Linked DNA regions of Tamandua tetradactyla. The protein of the gene in region 2 interacts with the protein of the main gene of each other region in a biochemical or structural test. Links are inferred from orthologs where the notes say so. Each region holds a gene or a part of one and is shown on either strand. Other genes may lie near its edges.

The links. The genes of interacting proteins can lie anywhere in the genome.
Region 1: the proteins of BTK (region 2) and SH3BP5 form a complex in vitro, tested with the Homo sapiens proteins (2 studies listed by BioGRID, with this or other methods). The link is inferred for Tamandua tetradactyla from reciprocal best matches to the Homo sapiens genes BTK and SH3BP5.

Annotation. Positions count from the first base shown.
Region 1 is NC_135341.1:73,335,956-73,344,241, reverse strand, and holds the start of SH3BP5 (SH3 domain-binding protein 5), read right to left. Parts: upstream 3,054-8,286; 5' UTR 2,915-3,053; coding exon 2,768-2,914; intron 966-2,767; coding exon 903-965; intron 1-902. UniProt on the Homo sapiens protein: Functions as a guanine nucleotide exchange factor (GEF) with specificity for RAB11A and RAB25. Inhibits the auto- and transphosphorylation activity of BTK. Plays a negative regulatory role in BTK-related cytoplasmic signaling in B-cells.
Region 2 is NC_135353.1:72,131,671-72,139,864, reverse strand, and holds the start of BTK (tyrosine-protein kinase BTK), read right to left. Parts: upstream 3,291-8,194; 5' UTR 3,267-3,290; coding exon 3,126-3,266; intron 2,670-3,125; coding exon 2,571-2,669; intron 1-2,570. UniProt on the Homo sapiens protein: Non-receptor tyrosine kinase indispensable for B lymphocyte development, differentiation and signaling. Binding of antigen to the B-cell antigen receptor (BCR) triggers signaling that ultimately leads to B-cell activation.

The DNA.
Region 1 (8,286 bases), on a different chromosome or scaffold from region 2:
AATGTAAATTCAAATAGTTCCACGTAGCACACGCTACCACATCTGATGGCACGTGGCTAGGTTCTCCTGGACCCTCACTCTTAAGGACTGGTGACAAGCCCAGATGTTTCCTGTCCTTTCTGTGGGAACTCTGTTGCTATTTCTCCTGCTACTGCTACAAAAACGGGTTCTCCGGGTGGCTCCCAGCATCCCAAGAGCTCCCGCTCGTAGATGCACAGAGGTCGTTCAGGTTTGCTGAAGGAGGGTAGAATCCACCATTACCCAACAGGGGTGGGGACTAATTGGCAGCTGTTAAGAATGCTACTCTGTTTACACTCAGGTCAGAAAACGCTCATGAAATTCAAATCAAGGCTGCCTCCCCTGAGATTTTTCCCAGCAGGAAAGCCCTTCCCAGTCTAAACAACTTTTTTTTTTAAACCACTAAGATAATTATATTCTATACACAAGGAGAGGATAAAGAAATGAGCAGGAAAGTAGAAGTGGGGGGTGAATTATTAGGGTAGAAAAGTCAAAACATGGTGTAAGTCTGAGGAAACACCAAACAGCTCCAAGTACAAATGGAAGGAACAGCCCCTAAACATTTAAGAGATTTTGTGAGCTCATTCATTACTCTACATGAAAGAGTTCAGCTCATTTTCCCCTCAGTCTCTTCAACTTTTCCAGAGACACATTAAATTTGGGGGCTTAAGCATGTCCGGTGCTTCACACAGCCATTGGTTTGGGCCCGGTGGAGCTTCCATAATGAAAAACATGTGAAATTGGATCCACAGGCTTTCAGCCCACAGACCGGGCTCCATTCCCAAGGAAGGGCCTCCAAAATAACCCTCCAGCTATTACAGCAAAATGAACTGTCAGCGTAACTGACACCACGACACCCAGAAAAGGGACCCAGCTTTCTGTACCTCAAGTTCAGTCTCTCGTCTGTTGATATCATCCGTGGATTGATTTAACTTCTCCAGTTCTCCCTAGTGAAGGAAGGAAAGGGGGAGAAAAAAGATTTGAGGCATCGGTCTTTTGTTTCCAAAATAACTCAGCCCATAACCTGAAAACAATGATCCCGGCACAATTTTGTGGAAGAGGGGAAAGGTGGTATTCATTCTCAAGGGAAAAAGGGGGGCCTTGTCTGGAAAAGCAAATGAGTGTCCCATTTCTGAAGTTTTTTTCTTGATGATATCCTTTTTAAAAATGGCTTAAGGGCCTAGGAATTATCTGTCTTTTCCTATAAGGTCAAATATCCATTTCAGGTGGGTGCCTTCAGGTAAACTCACCTGTTATAAGCAGTTCAGTGGCAGAATCAAAACAGTACCTTCTGCCATAGAGGGAAGAAATAAGCATTTAAAAAATTTTGTTTTAAAACCTGGCCAAGCCAAAAGGATATTAAACCCAGTGAAATCATTTAAATCTGGACAGACAGCTGGCATGTCATCTGTGGTTGATTATTTTTTGGTAAAGAGATGAAATTCCCTTTTTTTTCTAAACTGCCAATTATTCAACCTACCTACCTCTAGTTAACTAGTTTTAATCCCAATCCTTTAAATTAATATTTGCAATCTAACATTTGTAAAAAAAAAAAAAGTAAGGAGCACGAACTTAACTCATCTTTGCTCTGCTCTGCAAACAAAGGATCTCGATAACAGGATTTCCCAGCAAGAACAGAAGCTATAGCAACCCAAACTGATGATTTGAATTAATCGAATCATTCCTAATTCAAGGCTTTTTCCACCTGATCTTTATCTTGCTAAACGGCCGAAAAACAATTCATTTAAACCCCAACCACTGAGTTCAATGAGCTTTTAATTGATCTGTGCGCTGAAAAATCAATTAGGGCTCCAAAAACTGCACAGCATGCTTTTTAGCAATATATATATTTAAAAAAATAAAAAAGAAAAGATTTATGGAAAGGGGAGAGTAAAACGGATCTTGGAAAGGGGGATTTGCTGTGTTTCTGCTTAGCGGGTGCAGAGGTTAAGTTGTCATTCATAGATGTCGGCTTGTAAAGTGTTTTTTAATCATCCCTCTTGGAAATGGAGGCATAGAAAGGCAGGCCAACCCCCTCACCGCCTGCACGCGTCAGCACTGCGCATCACTTGTTCCTGATTTCTGTTCACAACCGACCTCACAACAAGGAAAACCAGGGCTTGAAACCATTTCAGGCCAAGCGGAGGGTTGAACCAGCGGGGACACTACCCCGCCCCCCGTTTCTTGACAATGACTCAAAGGAGGAGAGAGGCGACTCTGGCCGGTGACTTCGGCCAGGTGGGGGCTGCGAACCCATGGCACCGGCGCCAGCCCACGCTGCAGGGGCGGGCAACGCCCACCCAGTCGAGCTCCCGGGCCCGCCCCCAGAGCCCACGCGGGCCGGGCAATCCCTTCTGCCGTCGCCTGCGCGATACCCGCGGCGCCGGGAGCCTGACGCGGGGGGTACCCCGGAAAGGGCAATGGCTCCTCTGTCCCTTTTTCCCTTTGTTGCCCATCGCCCGAACCCCCAAGATCCCGCCGAGAGTTTGCGGGGAAAGGGGGGGGGGGGGCCCTCGCGACGTAGTCAGGCCGCATCCACGCGGGCACTGCAGCCCCCCCGGAGAGGCGGGGGCGCTTGAAAACGGTGTATTCACACCCCCTCTTGCAGCCCTAGGATCTACGCGACTGCGACCCCGCCGACCGCGGACACTAGGGGCTGCGTGCGGATCCTCGGAGTGGAGGTGTAGACGCCGACCTCCGCGGCAGCCCTTGCGGAGAGGAGATCCCAGGGGACCCCCGCGCGCCGTACCTGGATCCGGGGGTCCACCTCTTCCTCCTCCTCCAGCCCCTGCTCCATCCCCTCTTCCTCCTCCTCCTCCTCCTTTTCCACGTCCCGGGCAGGCGGAGATAGCTCCGCCGGCTCCTCGGAGCGGCTCCGCTTCAACGCCGTTTCCATGTGGGCGGAGGTGCGGGGCGCTGCGGCCGAACCCGAACCTCGCGGTGGGCTCTACAGCGCCTCGAGGGGGTCGCGGCCGCGGCAGGCTGGGCCGAGCCTCCGTGCCACCGTCCGGGAGGCGCCGCTCGCCGCCGCGGAGCCCTCGGGCCGAGGCGGAGCGCAGCGGTGGAAATGGGCGCGGCCGCCCCCTTTCTGCCGCGGCCGTCAGCGCAACGCCGCCCGCTCCGCCCTCGTCCCGCCGGGGCCGCCCCTCGGCGCGGCCCTGACACCATTCATCTACTGGTCCCCATTACCCGGGCCTCCGTCACAAAAACCCCAGTTTCCTGACAACCCCTAGGCTGATGAAACAGGAGCGTCCCCACCACCACCACCACCACTTTTAACTTAGCAGCCCGAATAAATGACAAAACACCCTGCGTTAGCCCCCTGCTTTCTGGGTGGCTAAACTCAGCCAAGATAGGTTTAGGGTATGGGAGGAACGTTTGGGACATTTCCACTCTCAGAAGTCACCTTTGGAGACCTGTGCTCAATGCCCCTGGGCCAGTTTCAAGACCCACTCAAACCCTTGTACCCAAAGCATCTTTCTTCCTTTGGGTGAACCTTGTGAATTGCCTCTACTTGGAGATTTCCTCAGAAAAAAAGAACGGAAACATATGCTCTGTGCAGATGCAAAAGTACAAAGAGAGGAGCCGGCTGCAGGTCCATGCATGGATTCCTCTCCCCAAGACAGTGTCCTCCACTGGGAGGCTTGGAGCACAAACCAATCTCCTGCACTTTCATAGGTGTGTGATAGTCCTACCTGAATAGCCATGAAACATTGAGAACCCATTGAACATGGAAGTGGGTGGGATGATACAGCCTTTCCAAGGACGCCCCGAGTGTATTCCCTGTTGATGGACACACTCTAGCCAAGGATTTATGAACTGATGAGATGCCCTGTCCACCCTCAATAAGTGGGATGCCAAAGCTTACCTGGGAAACTCATCACCACAAAAGGCCAAACAACCGAAAGGGCATGCATGCGTTATTATGAAATGTCAGGGCCACTGTGATATCAGGAACACAAGGTCAGACTGCCTAGGGAAAGCAGGCTAGGGACATTGCCACTCATCACTCCTGATGTTTCCTTCTCGACCAAAATGGAGAAAGTATATGCTTCGTGCATGGAAGCTTGTGGCCAATGGGCTCTGTGAGTTTGGAGGACAAACTTCCTTAGGACCTTCTTTCTGAGAGCCTGGGGTTAAAGCCACCTGGAAAAACCTGCTTCTGGTTTTGCCAGAAGCTAACTTGAGGATGTTACTCCTGGGGCAAGGTGCCACCCTATCTGTTGACACTGTGGTCCACTCTCAAAGATTTGTCCTGTTCCTGCAAATAGTACAGGTCTATGCTATAGGCTTGTTTCTGTAAAGATCACTGTAGTAGAAGCTTAATAGTGATTGATCCCCATTGTAAAGGTCTTTCTCTTCTGAGGAGAATGCTGCTGTCAATATTTGGATTTTCATTTGGAGGCTCCATGTTCCTCTCCACACCATCATCTCCCTTCTCCTCTGCTTTGACCTGTTCATAGCTCTTTAAATCTGGGGAGAGTCCACAATTCTGTGAGAGATGTTTTGAAGTTCCTTGCTAAAAGCATAGTTGCTTTTGGCTTTTTGTTATCTCATGGCTCTATGGGTCAGAAGTTCTGACCTGGCATTACTGGGCTGTATGCTCAGGATTTCACAGGCTGGATCAGGGTGCTGTCCAGCCTGCATTCCTTTCTGGAGGTTCTAGGGCTAGGGAAGCATCACTTCTAAGACCATTCAGGTAGTTGGTCAAATTTATTTCTTTGTGGTTGTAGGACTAAGCATCTGGAAGCCACCTTCATTCATTGCCATGTGGCTCTCTCCATCTTCAGAACCAGCAACAAAGAATCCCCGTGTCAAATCTCACACATACTTCAATCTCTTCTTCAGGAAGAGCCCAGTCCCTAGCTTTAAGAGCTCACCTGATTAGGCCAGATCCACCCAGGAGAGTCTTCAATTCTTTAAGTCAGCTGCAGCATATACCTAATCTAATGAAGGAACAACTACCTCACCATATTCACAAGCCCCAGAAATTACACAGGGGTTTGCACAACAGGAGACAGGAAATGGAAACCATCTTATAATTCTGCCTACCACACATACTAAGAAGGCAAGCCATGCTATTATGTAAAATGCTTAAATATTTACTTTAGCTGGCATATCGATCTAGAGGAGTGGTTCTGAAAGGATGACCTAGAGACCCCTGGAGGTCCCTGAGACCTTGCAGAATATCCTTCTGGTCAAAACTGCTTCATACTAATTCTAAGACAATATTTGCCTTTTTCTCTCGCATTCTCTCATGAGTGAGCATTGGAGATTTCCATAAGCTACAGGACATGTGACATCACAACAGGTTGAATGCAGAAGCAGATATGAGAATGGATCTGATTTGCAAAAACATAAAACATTGCCTCTCTTCTCACTATTTTGTTTTGTAATAGATATTTGTCACAAAATCATATTTATGTTAACATGTGATGGACTTATTATTATTACTTTTAGATGACTTAATAATTGTTTGTTGTTGTTGTTGTTGTTTTCTTTTTCTTTTTTTTTTTTTTTTTGGCATGGGTAGGCCCCAGGAATCGAACCTGGGTCTCTGGCATGGCAGATGAGAATTCTGCCACTGAGCCACCATTGCACTGCTCAATAATTGTTTTTTAAATCTCAGTTTTCATTTCTATGCGGTAATGGCCAAGAGATGTAACCACATAAACAAAAGCTCTTTGAGATCCTCTAATAAATCATTTTTAAGAATATAAAGGGATCCAGACACCAAAAAGTCTGGGAACTACTGATTTAGAGGAAATGTATATTCTAGTTTGCATTGTCTATTTTAAATCTGAATTTCAACCTTCTACTTCCCTCCTCACTAGAAAAATACATACCCCCAGGACTCTTCTTGGCCATTGGTGAAGTATTTCAGGCACAGTACATTCATACCCATTTTAGATGAATATAAATATAATTAAACAACTTTAAATGATTGAAGAAATGGTTACATAAGGAGTAGCTCACTTGGTGTATCACTGGTTATTTTCTAGAATCTAGATTTTCCCAACTCCTATGCCAATGAGAATGCTGCTTTTGGTAGTTAGAGTCAGTTGTCAACTTGGCCAGGTGAAGGCACCTAGTTCTGTTGCTGTGGACATGAGCCAATGGTATGTGAACCTCATCTGTTGCTGATTACATCTGCAGTCAGCTAGGAGGCGTGCCTGCTGCAATGAATGATGTTTGACTTAATTGGCTGGTACTTAAATGAAAGAGCTCAACATAGCACAGCCCAAGCAGCTCGGCATACCTCATCTTAGCACTTGCAGCTCAGCCCAGGCCTTTGGAGATGCAGAAAGGAATCACCACCAGGGAATGTTGTTGGAACCCAGAGGCCTCGAGAGAAGGCCAGCAGAGATTACCCTGAGCCTTCCCACGTAAGAAAGAACCTCAGATGAAAGTCAGCTGCCTTTCCTTTGAAGAACTAACAAAATAAATCCCCTTTTATTAAAAGCCAGTCCGTCTCTGGTGTGTTGCATGCCGACAGCTAGCAAACTAGAACACTGCTCCTGCGGAGGAAATGACCAACTTTGTAATGCTTTGCTGGGAGTGTGGTTTCCAAGAACACACCTCTCCTTGTCAGGCTTTGGGTGGGCCTTGAGCGGGAATGGCACACGTGTATTGAGGCAGCCACACACTGTACGGTGTGGGCAAAGATGGGACGGCTGTTAAGAAACAGAAATCTTAAGAACAGCTTTGCTTGGACTCCGCACTCCCTGATCAATTTATTTTTAGTACCTCCTTGCAGTTTGTTTGAGTCCAGACATTGGGGGAAAATATGTTATATGTGTTTGTTCACTGCCCCACACTTCCTTAAGTTGTAAATCTACCTTGGTAAGAATCACAGCCTCTGCATTGCTCCCCGTTGCCATTTAAAATAGTGGGCTGATATGTGGAAGGAAGGAGGAGATGGTATCTGATAGGATGAGACTATGTTTATATATTCCTCCATTGTGGGTTCTTATTTGCAATGATCTGGTTTCTTTCATAGGATTCCATCAACCTCTCCTGTAGCCCCACCTCCTTATTGGTGGAAAGCACTTACAATCTGGGCCCTGTCCTCCCAAAATTATAAAACAAGCAGATCTCCGGCAAAGAGAGACCTTTTCCTTATTTGGTTCATACCTTGGAGAGATGAAATGCTTGGGGTGTGTTTTATTTCTGTAGGTGTGGCGACAAATGTGAATTGACTTAAGCACTCACAGAAAATGCTGCCATGTTCAAAGGTTGTCACTTCTGTCTTCGAGTGAAGGGGACCTCCAACTGTGTCTGCAATGCTCCTTGGTCTTTTCTGCGAAGAGGGCAACTTCTCCCAAATTCTTGAAACTGGGAAATGGAGGAATCAGAGAATGTGGGGAGATCTGCTGACTTCAAAATGGTGGGGTTGAGTTTAGGGCCGAAAGACTGGGAAATGGAAGGAGCGCGCTGGCCATTCACGTGGGAAAAGGAGCAGCATTTCCACTCCTGGCAACTGAGCAGGACCTCATTACCCACTGGGTGAACATGGAGCTCATACTCACTCTTCTGCCTTGAAGGGCCAGGATAATTTTATAGAGAAGCTGACACTGGACTTTGAATAATAAACAGAATTTCCTTGAACAAGAGAGTAAGATTTTGCAAAAGAAAGAAAGAAAAAGTGCTTTCCTGTGGTGGTTTGGAGCTGTTATGTACCCCAGAAAAAAGCCATGTTCTTTTAACCCATTCCTGAGGGTACAGACCTGTTGTAAGTGGAACCTTTTGGTTAGGTTATTTCAATTAAGATGTGACCCACCCCATTCAAGGTGGGTCTTAATCCCCTTACTTGAGTCCTCTATAAAAGATGAAATTGAGAGAAGCTCATAGATAAAAGCTCCATATAAGCTAAGATAGGATCCACAGAAGCTCAGAGACGAAACCACTGGAGCCAGAAGCTGAAAGCAACAGAAAACAGAAGCAAAAGACCAGCAGGTATTGGCCAGGTACCTTCCTATGGGACAGAGGCGTCCCGCATGCCAGCAGCCTGTCTTCAGAATCCAGGCATTGTCCTGTTGATGCCTTGAGTTTGGCATTTTCATGGCCTAAGAACTATAAATTGTAAGATAATAAATTCCTGTTGTAAAAGCCAACCCATTTCTGGCATATTGCACTCTGACAGCTTTAGCAAACCAAAACATTTCTAAACAGACCAAATAACATAAGGACCATCATGGAGGGGATGGACTGGTCATGAACAGTGCAAAGGGACATCATTCAGACATGGGGACCAGGAAGAGTTGATGG
Region 2 (8,194 bases):
GAACAGTTAATCACTAATATTGTGTGCATTTGTGTGTGTGTGGGGGGAGTTAAGTAGCCATTTCATACCATATACTAAAGTAAAGTCTAGATAGCTCAAAGAGCTTAACATAAAAAATGAACCTATGAAAGACTGAGAAAAACATAAATGACTATATAATCTTGTTGGAGGTAAAGCCTTTCTAATATAATGCTAAAGGTTAAAACTATTAAGAAAAAGATCAACTAATGTGATGACATAGACCTTAAAACCCAATATAGCAAAAAAAAACCATAAACAAAATCAATCATACAGGAAAAACTGGAAAAATATTTTCAACATATATTGTAGTTAAAGAATTAATATTCTTAATATGTCAGGATCTCTTAAAATTATCAAGAATAAGGTAAACATCTTAATAGAAAAATGGGCAAAACATTAAGAGGTAATTCACAAATGAAAATATGTAAATAAGCAGTAGACATATAAATAATTGTTGAACCTTACTAGTAGTATAAAATTGCAGGATACCTGGCAACGTGGGACAGAGATCCTGGAATAAGCTGAGACTCAGCATTAAGGGACTGAGAAAAACCGTAGAATGAGCTGATAATTAACATCAAGGGATTGAGAGAACCTTCTCGACCAAAAGGGGGAAGAGTAAAATGAGACAAAGTGTCAATGGCTGAGAGACTCCAAGCAGAGTCAAGAGGTTATCCTGGAGGTTATTCTTATGCATTAAGTAGATATCACCTTGTTGTTCAAGATGTAGTGAAGAGGCTGGAGGGAATTGCCTGAAAATGTAGTGCTGTGTTCCAGTAGCCATTTTTCTTGATGATGATTGAACAATGATATAGCTTTCACAATGAGACTCTGTGAATGTGAAAACCTTATGTCTGATGCTCCCTTTAGCTACTATATCAACAGAAGAGTAGAACATATGGAATAAAAATAAATAATAGGGGGAACAAATGTTAAAATAAATTCAGCTTGAAATAGTGGTAAATGAAAGCGAGGGGTAAGGGGTATGGTATGTATAGTCTTTTTTTTTGCTTATCATTTTATTTCTTTTTCTGTTGTCTTTTTATTTCTTTTTCTAAATCGATGCAAATGTACTAAGAAATGATGAATATGCAACTATGTGATGATATTAAGAATTACTGATTGTATATGTAGAATGGAATGATATCTAAATGTTTTGTTTGTTAATTTTTTTTAATAAAAAAAGTTAAAAAAATTGCAGGATAGATCAGCAATGAAATATTATTTCTTCTGGCTGTCAAACTGACTAACGTTTAAAATAAATTATAATACCAAGTATTGGAAAGAATGTAGAAAAATAAGAGTTCTTATACACAGCTAGTAGAACTGCATGAAATTCAAATTCCACTTCCAGGAAATAAAATAGAATAAAGACATAAAAATAACCAAGTGTGCCAATTTCACAAAAAAAGAAAAAGAAAATTTCTCTTCTAGGATTCTATTATAAGAATAGCAACCAAAAATGTTTGCAAGGATACTTCTCTCAACATAGTTTATAATATCAAATCATTGGAAACAACCTAAATGTGTAGTAACAGGAGATTAGATAATCAAATTATTATATATCTATAATAGGGAATACAATGCAGTCATTAAAATCATGTTATTAAAGATAATTAATGTCACGGGAAAACAGTTACCATATATTGTTAAATTGAGAAAGTAAATTACAAAGGCAATTTTATGTTTAAATATTTATCATATATATGAAACTGAATGTATGTGTAAATTGAGTTTGTGTATACATGGTTGTTAGAGAGAAACATTTTGTAAGTCTGTATAGATATAACTGTTTTAGCTGGGTGATAATATTATAAATGACTGTATTTACTTTTTTATCATTTTAAAATAGTTTTCAGATTTTCTTAATAAACATACACTACTGTTATAATCTGGAAAGAAGTGATATGTTAAAAACAAATTGGAGGGAGAGTAAGAGGTATAGTATGTATGAGTTTTTTCTTTTTTCTTGTAATTTCTTTTTTTGGAGTGATGCAAATGTTCTAAAAAATGATCGTGGTGATGAATACACAACTATGTGATGAGACTGTGTGCCACTGATTTTTCACCATATATGGAATGTACGTATGTGAAGATTTATCAATAAAAATATGAAAAAATAAAAAACTCAACTTAGCAGTCACTGGGTGTTATGCACCAGAAAGATTCTGGGAAACAAGGGGAGAATAAACAGTAAGATATCAGTGCATCTCCTATTACTCAGAGCCTTAGGATTCTTGCATTCAGACTATCTCAAACCTCTGATTCTGAGCCCAGTAACTGTTATCTCTGGCCAGGTTGAAAACTAGATATAACAGCATTTTGAAACAGGAAGTTAGAAGTTTTCTAGGTTAAATGATCTAGATCTAAATATCTGGGGGAAAGATGCTGAGAGTATAATCAATATGTGGTAGAGTGAAGAACTTTGTAAGGGCATTTTACTGTGTTTCACAGCACCACTAGATTACTTACAGAAAATCTAAATGTTCCAAATTTCTTAAAATCTCACGCTCTCTCTTTCTCTATGTCAAACAATCATCTCTTCTTACCAGAATCTGTCTTTCAGGGGGCGGATTTTTTTCAGGAACCACTGTTTCAACGCAGGTGATCTTCTCTACATCTATTGAACCCTTTTTACTGCCTCTTCTCTGAGAAAGAGAATGTGGAAGAAAATGGAGAAAGAGATTAAGGGTGATTGGGCAACCAGATGATTAGATTTTGTTATCTAATCATTCTACATAGTGAGGTGACACCCACACTCTATATCAGGACCTGTCATCTTGAAAGTATTAATCTAACCCATTTTGACAACCAGATGGAGGACAAACACTATAGAAGAGTGGATGTGTGTGCCTTATCATAAGAAATAAGGAAGCAATTTCCAACTCTTGGATTCCATTCTCAACAATCATTTAATGAATGCTCACCAATTACAAGATTCCATGTTAAGATCCATCCCCCACCGCCTTTAATCATGACTTCTCTTGAGTTTTGCTAAGTTTAATTGTACTTAGGTCCATTTTACCTTGCTCTTACTACCTCCTCCCTAAGGAATTTCTAAGACCAACCCCTTGAAATTCAGGTTTCACAGCAGAAAAACTTACCCCACGTTCAAAGTCATACTCATAGTAGGAAAGTTTGTGCACGGTCAAGAGAAAGAGACGCTTCTTGAAATTTAAAGGTGATGTTTTCTTTTTCTGCTGAGATCTCTTGAGAAAGATGCTCTCCAGGATCACTGCAGCCATAGCTTCTTTCTGGAGCTCACTTGTGTGCTGTTGATAATAACAGTTTCTGAGGATCCAGTACATCAATCCTCACCCCTACCTCAGTTTAACCCTGGTTTTGAATGAAACAGACCATGAAAACCCTACCTTGGTATCCTCCTTTCATAGTCAACAGCTCTGTCAGTTTTTGCGTTTAATGGATATTGAATTGGGGAGTTTGGTCCTACATTGTGTCTTCATGTAAGGCAATGAATTGCTCTGGATGTCAAGTGGCATGTACCTGTGTCCTTGGCAATGTCCAGAGACAACTTTACGCTAATCACTCTTATGGTACATGGAAGAAGATCTGTGAACAGCAAAAGTCTGTGTAACTGTTGACCCTAAAAATCCCAGAAGGGATAATGTAAGTGCCAGAACTTCACGGAGGGAGATATTGAAGCCTCAGTTCCCAGTTTCCTAGACAGTGAATTTAATTTTTCAAATTGTGTCCTATTAAGAGTCTGTAACCAAGAGGTCTAATAAGGATAAGGAGGCTGCACCTGTAGTTATGGACAAACACTACCTGCCACCCAACTGATTTTGCCCATCACCTACTGAGCTACAAAGGATGGAAGCTTTGCTCTAAAGTTGAAAAAAAAATTCAGTGGGGATATGGTTGTTTCTGTTCTTGACCTTTGGCTTTTTTTTCTTTTTGCTTTGATTAGTTCTTTTAGACAACATCACGCAAAGGTATTGCAACTATCTTACTGCTGTCTCTGATCATTTATGAAGAATAAGTCCTTGTTTAGCCTTCTCCAAACTTACAATATTACAGAAAGTTTCAGTTTAAGTAACTGAAATACAGAAAGGCAAAGAAAGTCATCAAACTTTTTTGTTTGACATCAAAACTTTTTTTATTTACACAAAACAAAACTTTGTATCAATTGTTCACTTTAAGTTAATGCACAATCTTATATTACTAATTCCAAACTTTCATTAGAAAGACAAAGTGAAAGCTTAAATATTATCACAAAAAATAGAGCACCAATAAGTACTGAAAAATCACCAGTCCCTCTTCCCATCCAAATTTTGCTAGAGGTGGATAATTTTTCCTATGGAGGGGTGAGGCTTATTATTATTATTTGAACCAAACTCCTTGTGCTTTTGGTGGCACTATGGAAACAAAATAAAATTGGCAATTTTTCTCTACTGTCAAGCAAAGTGGTTATTTTCAAAGTTCAAAGCAATATGTGCCATTATTTTACTCTTTTTTTTTTCATTATTCTGCTTTTTTCTAAGGTGTAGAAGGTTCTACGATCATACTGAGGAGACAAAATGATTAAAGAAACACCAGGAATGTTCAGAATGTTTGCTTTGCCACTTACCCTCCTTTATCTTATGGTTGTGGATTAGTTCAATATTTTGCAAATCATATTTTCAGAAAAATTGCACAAGGGAGCAAAACTTTCCCCATTCCCTGACCAACACCTCTCTTCCCTGATTCCCTGGCCTTTGATTGAAATGACATATTGATATTGTTTCCAACCAATCAGAGTCCTTTCTAACATTCAGATTCAGCTGAAACTCCAAAGAACTTCCTTTTAACATTAGAACTATTCATTTACATAGAAGTAATGGCAAAACCAATAATTACACTCTATTCTCAGGAGCTGCCAACTCATTGAGATCCCTGTTGTAAAATCACATTTGCTTCCATGACAAATTTCAAAAAAGTACCCTTTCAAAATAAAAAACTCAAATTACAGAAGATAAAATAAAGCCCTAAAGGAATTGAGTAGCCTGATCAGTAAACAGAATCAGAAACCACATCCAGTTGTGTTTTCTTTTAGTAAAGCACACGTAGCTTGTTACCTTTAGTTTTGTTGCAAACTCCCTGCTCAGATCCAGCATCTGCTTTGGTCTTGGTCTCTGCTCTTATTTCTACAAGACACATCCTGCTGGAAACTGCCTCTGCTCTTTCTCTTTTTAGAACAAATCCAGTTTGTACAAAAGGAAGCCTTCATCTTTTCCAAGTGTCTGTGTTGGGGTAGGGTCTGAGGAAGTAAACCTCTCATTAGCCATCGCCTTACTGAGCAATGGATGAAATGGCTTCCACCTCTACATCATGCTGTTCAATAGGATTTCAAGGACCTGGTATCCCACCCACACACACCCCTCCCTATCCCCCCCTTCTTTTTTTTTACTTTTTCCTTATTCTTTATGAACCAGTCTAGACACATGTAGCCTGGAAATATGGTAGTTCTTTCTTAGTCACCACTGGTCGTTTCACCAAGAATGTGAAAGGAGAGGCATCCATCTTTATGTCTTCCCCACGGTTAACATGTAATGGACAGCTCTGAGTTAGAGATAGTTGTGGCTTCTTAAGATACTTATTGTGGAACTCCCCAATTTTTTCTAACAATTTCAGCAGCCTACAGATCCAACTCGACCACAAGAGATGCATAGACAGGACTGGCCCTGTGCCTCACTTAGGGAGTAAGGGTGGAAAACAGAAGTGATGTGAACATTATACACACAGATGCACACGCAAACATACAGACCATGTTCATATGGAGAAAGAAAGAGGGGAAGGGAAAATTATAGACAGACACAGAGCTCTTTAATTAAAATACAGAGTTCCAGTGTTATAATATTCTCTTTGTTGAACTACAATACAAGGATTTTCACATGATCACCTTTTGCAGCTTCTAGCTCCCTATAGAGCAACAGAATTCAGAAAGAAGATGCTTATTAGAAAGGGTTCAGCCATCAAATCAACTGCACTATGCCAAAGAATTAATATAAATAGCACTTGCAGAATCAGTCAACTAAACTGGCTCCTACATTTGCTCGTGTTAAGATAAAACACTATTAAAGACAACACCAAAGCAAAATCTACAAAACTATACAGCCTGCCTATGATTGGAATGAGACCACTGTGGCCTTCAGTAAAGTAGCAAGCCATTGGTAGGAGTCAAATTGGTTTCTTAAAAGAAAAAAGTACAATTACATGTGTGGTGGGTCATTGTTCAGTACAGTATATATACAAGGGTAACAGTATGCAGGATGTTTTCATACAGTGTATTTATGGCTTGTCATATAAATTAAAGGCCTTGTATTTAATATTTTTCAATCCTTTTAAATAAAATTGTTCTTTGCAAAAGTTCCCTTGGGAGAATGGGAGAAAGGAGGAAATATTTAACCTCACCATTTGGAGAATTTCTGATATTCTTGTAAACAGTGGGAACAACCAAATCAACAGGCTGAGCCCTTGATCTTGGGGTTCACCCCTATGAAACATTGCTACAAAGGATAGGCTAGGCCTACTTAAAATTAGGCCTAAGAGTCATCCCCAAAGAACCTCTTTTGTGGCTCTCATGTAGCCTCTCTCTCTAAGCCAACTCAGCAGGTGAACTCACTGCCCTCCCTCCTCCATGGGACATGACTTCCAGGGGTGTAAATATCCCTGGCAATGTGGGACAGAAAGCCTGGGATAAGCCGGGACCCAGCATCAAGAGACTAAGAAAGTCTTCTTCACCAAAAGGGGGAAGAGAGAAATGAGACAAAACAATGTTTTGTTGGCTGAGAGATTTCAAGCAGAGTCAAGAGGTTATCCTGGAGGTTATTCATATGCATTATAGAGATACCCCTTTTAGTTTTTGGTGTATTGGAGTGGCTAGAGGGAAGTAGCTGAAACTGCTGAGCTGTGTTCCAGCAGCTTAGATTCTTGAAGACAATTGTATAAAGATATAACATTTACAATGTGACTGTGTGATTGTGAGAAACTTACGTCCGGTGTTTCTTATATCCCCAGAATGGACAGTTGAGTAAAAAGTATGGATATAAAATAAATAAATAATAGGGGGGACAAATGTTAAAATAAATTGGGTAGATGGAAACATTAGTGGTCAATGAGAGGGAGGGGTAAGGTGTATGGTATGTATGAGTTTCTTCTTTTTTCTTTCTTTTTCTGGAGTGATGCAAATGTTCTAAAAAATAATCATGGTGATGAATACACAACTATGTGATGTTATTGTGAGCCATTGATTGCATACCATGTATAGAATGTATGTGTGTGACGATTTCTCAAATAAAAAATTTTTAAAAATGTGTTCTTTGAAAGAATGGTTGGTGCTTATTTTTTCAAAAATTATTGTTAATAATGTGATGACAATATGCAATATTTATCTGATGAACTATAACTATCTTAATTTGGTTCTGTAAGTTTTCTGTTGCACTTGTAAAATGCTACAAGGAATATTTAAAATTCTATTCACTTTAACTTATAATAGTTAATGAAATAAAAACAAGAATCATAGCTTTTGTTATGTGGTAATCTATAAAAATGTTTAACCTTGAAATTCAGTGTGAAGAACTGAAAGTAATGTACATGTTGTAAATATTTGTATGTTGTGAGAAGTTTTTGTCATAAAAAATTTAAAAACTTCCCAAGAAAAAAAAAAAGAAGTAACCAGCCAGTAGTAGTTCAATTGATAACTATCTAACCAGAGTATCCAAGAGGCAGTATTTCCTCTTCTTTAAAATACTGCTTACTTGAGTAGCAAGACTCTGGCTATTCCCTTTCTCTCCTCAGCGGAATGGAAAGGAACTACTGTACTGTTTCTCTCAGTGCAGTCTACCTGTAAGGCATTTTGCATGCATTATCTCATTTATTCCTCACAACAAACATGAAGAAACTGAGACTCAGAGAAGTTAAGTGACTTGCTCAGCACCATCCATATGTGATTCCATAGCCCTTGCTCTTTCTGTGGACTCCCAGTGGAGTCTTTGGTGAAGTATGATGTGTGATGCCATATACCTCAGCACTTGCCATTTCCAATGGCTATCATCAAAGACTAATTAGCACAGACCCCTTTGCATCTTTTAGGAACATTCCGCAAGGGAGGAAATAGTGGTTTAAAAAAAAGGGGGCGGGTGTGTGTTGGGGGATAGCAAGAGAAGTCAGGGTT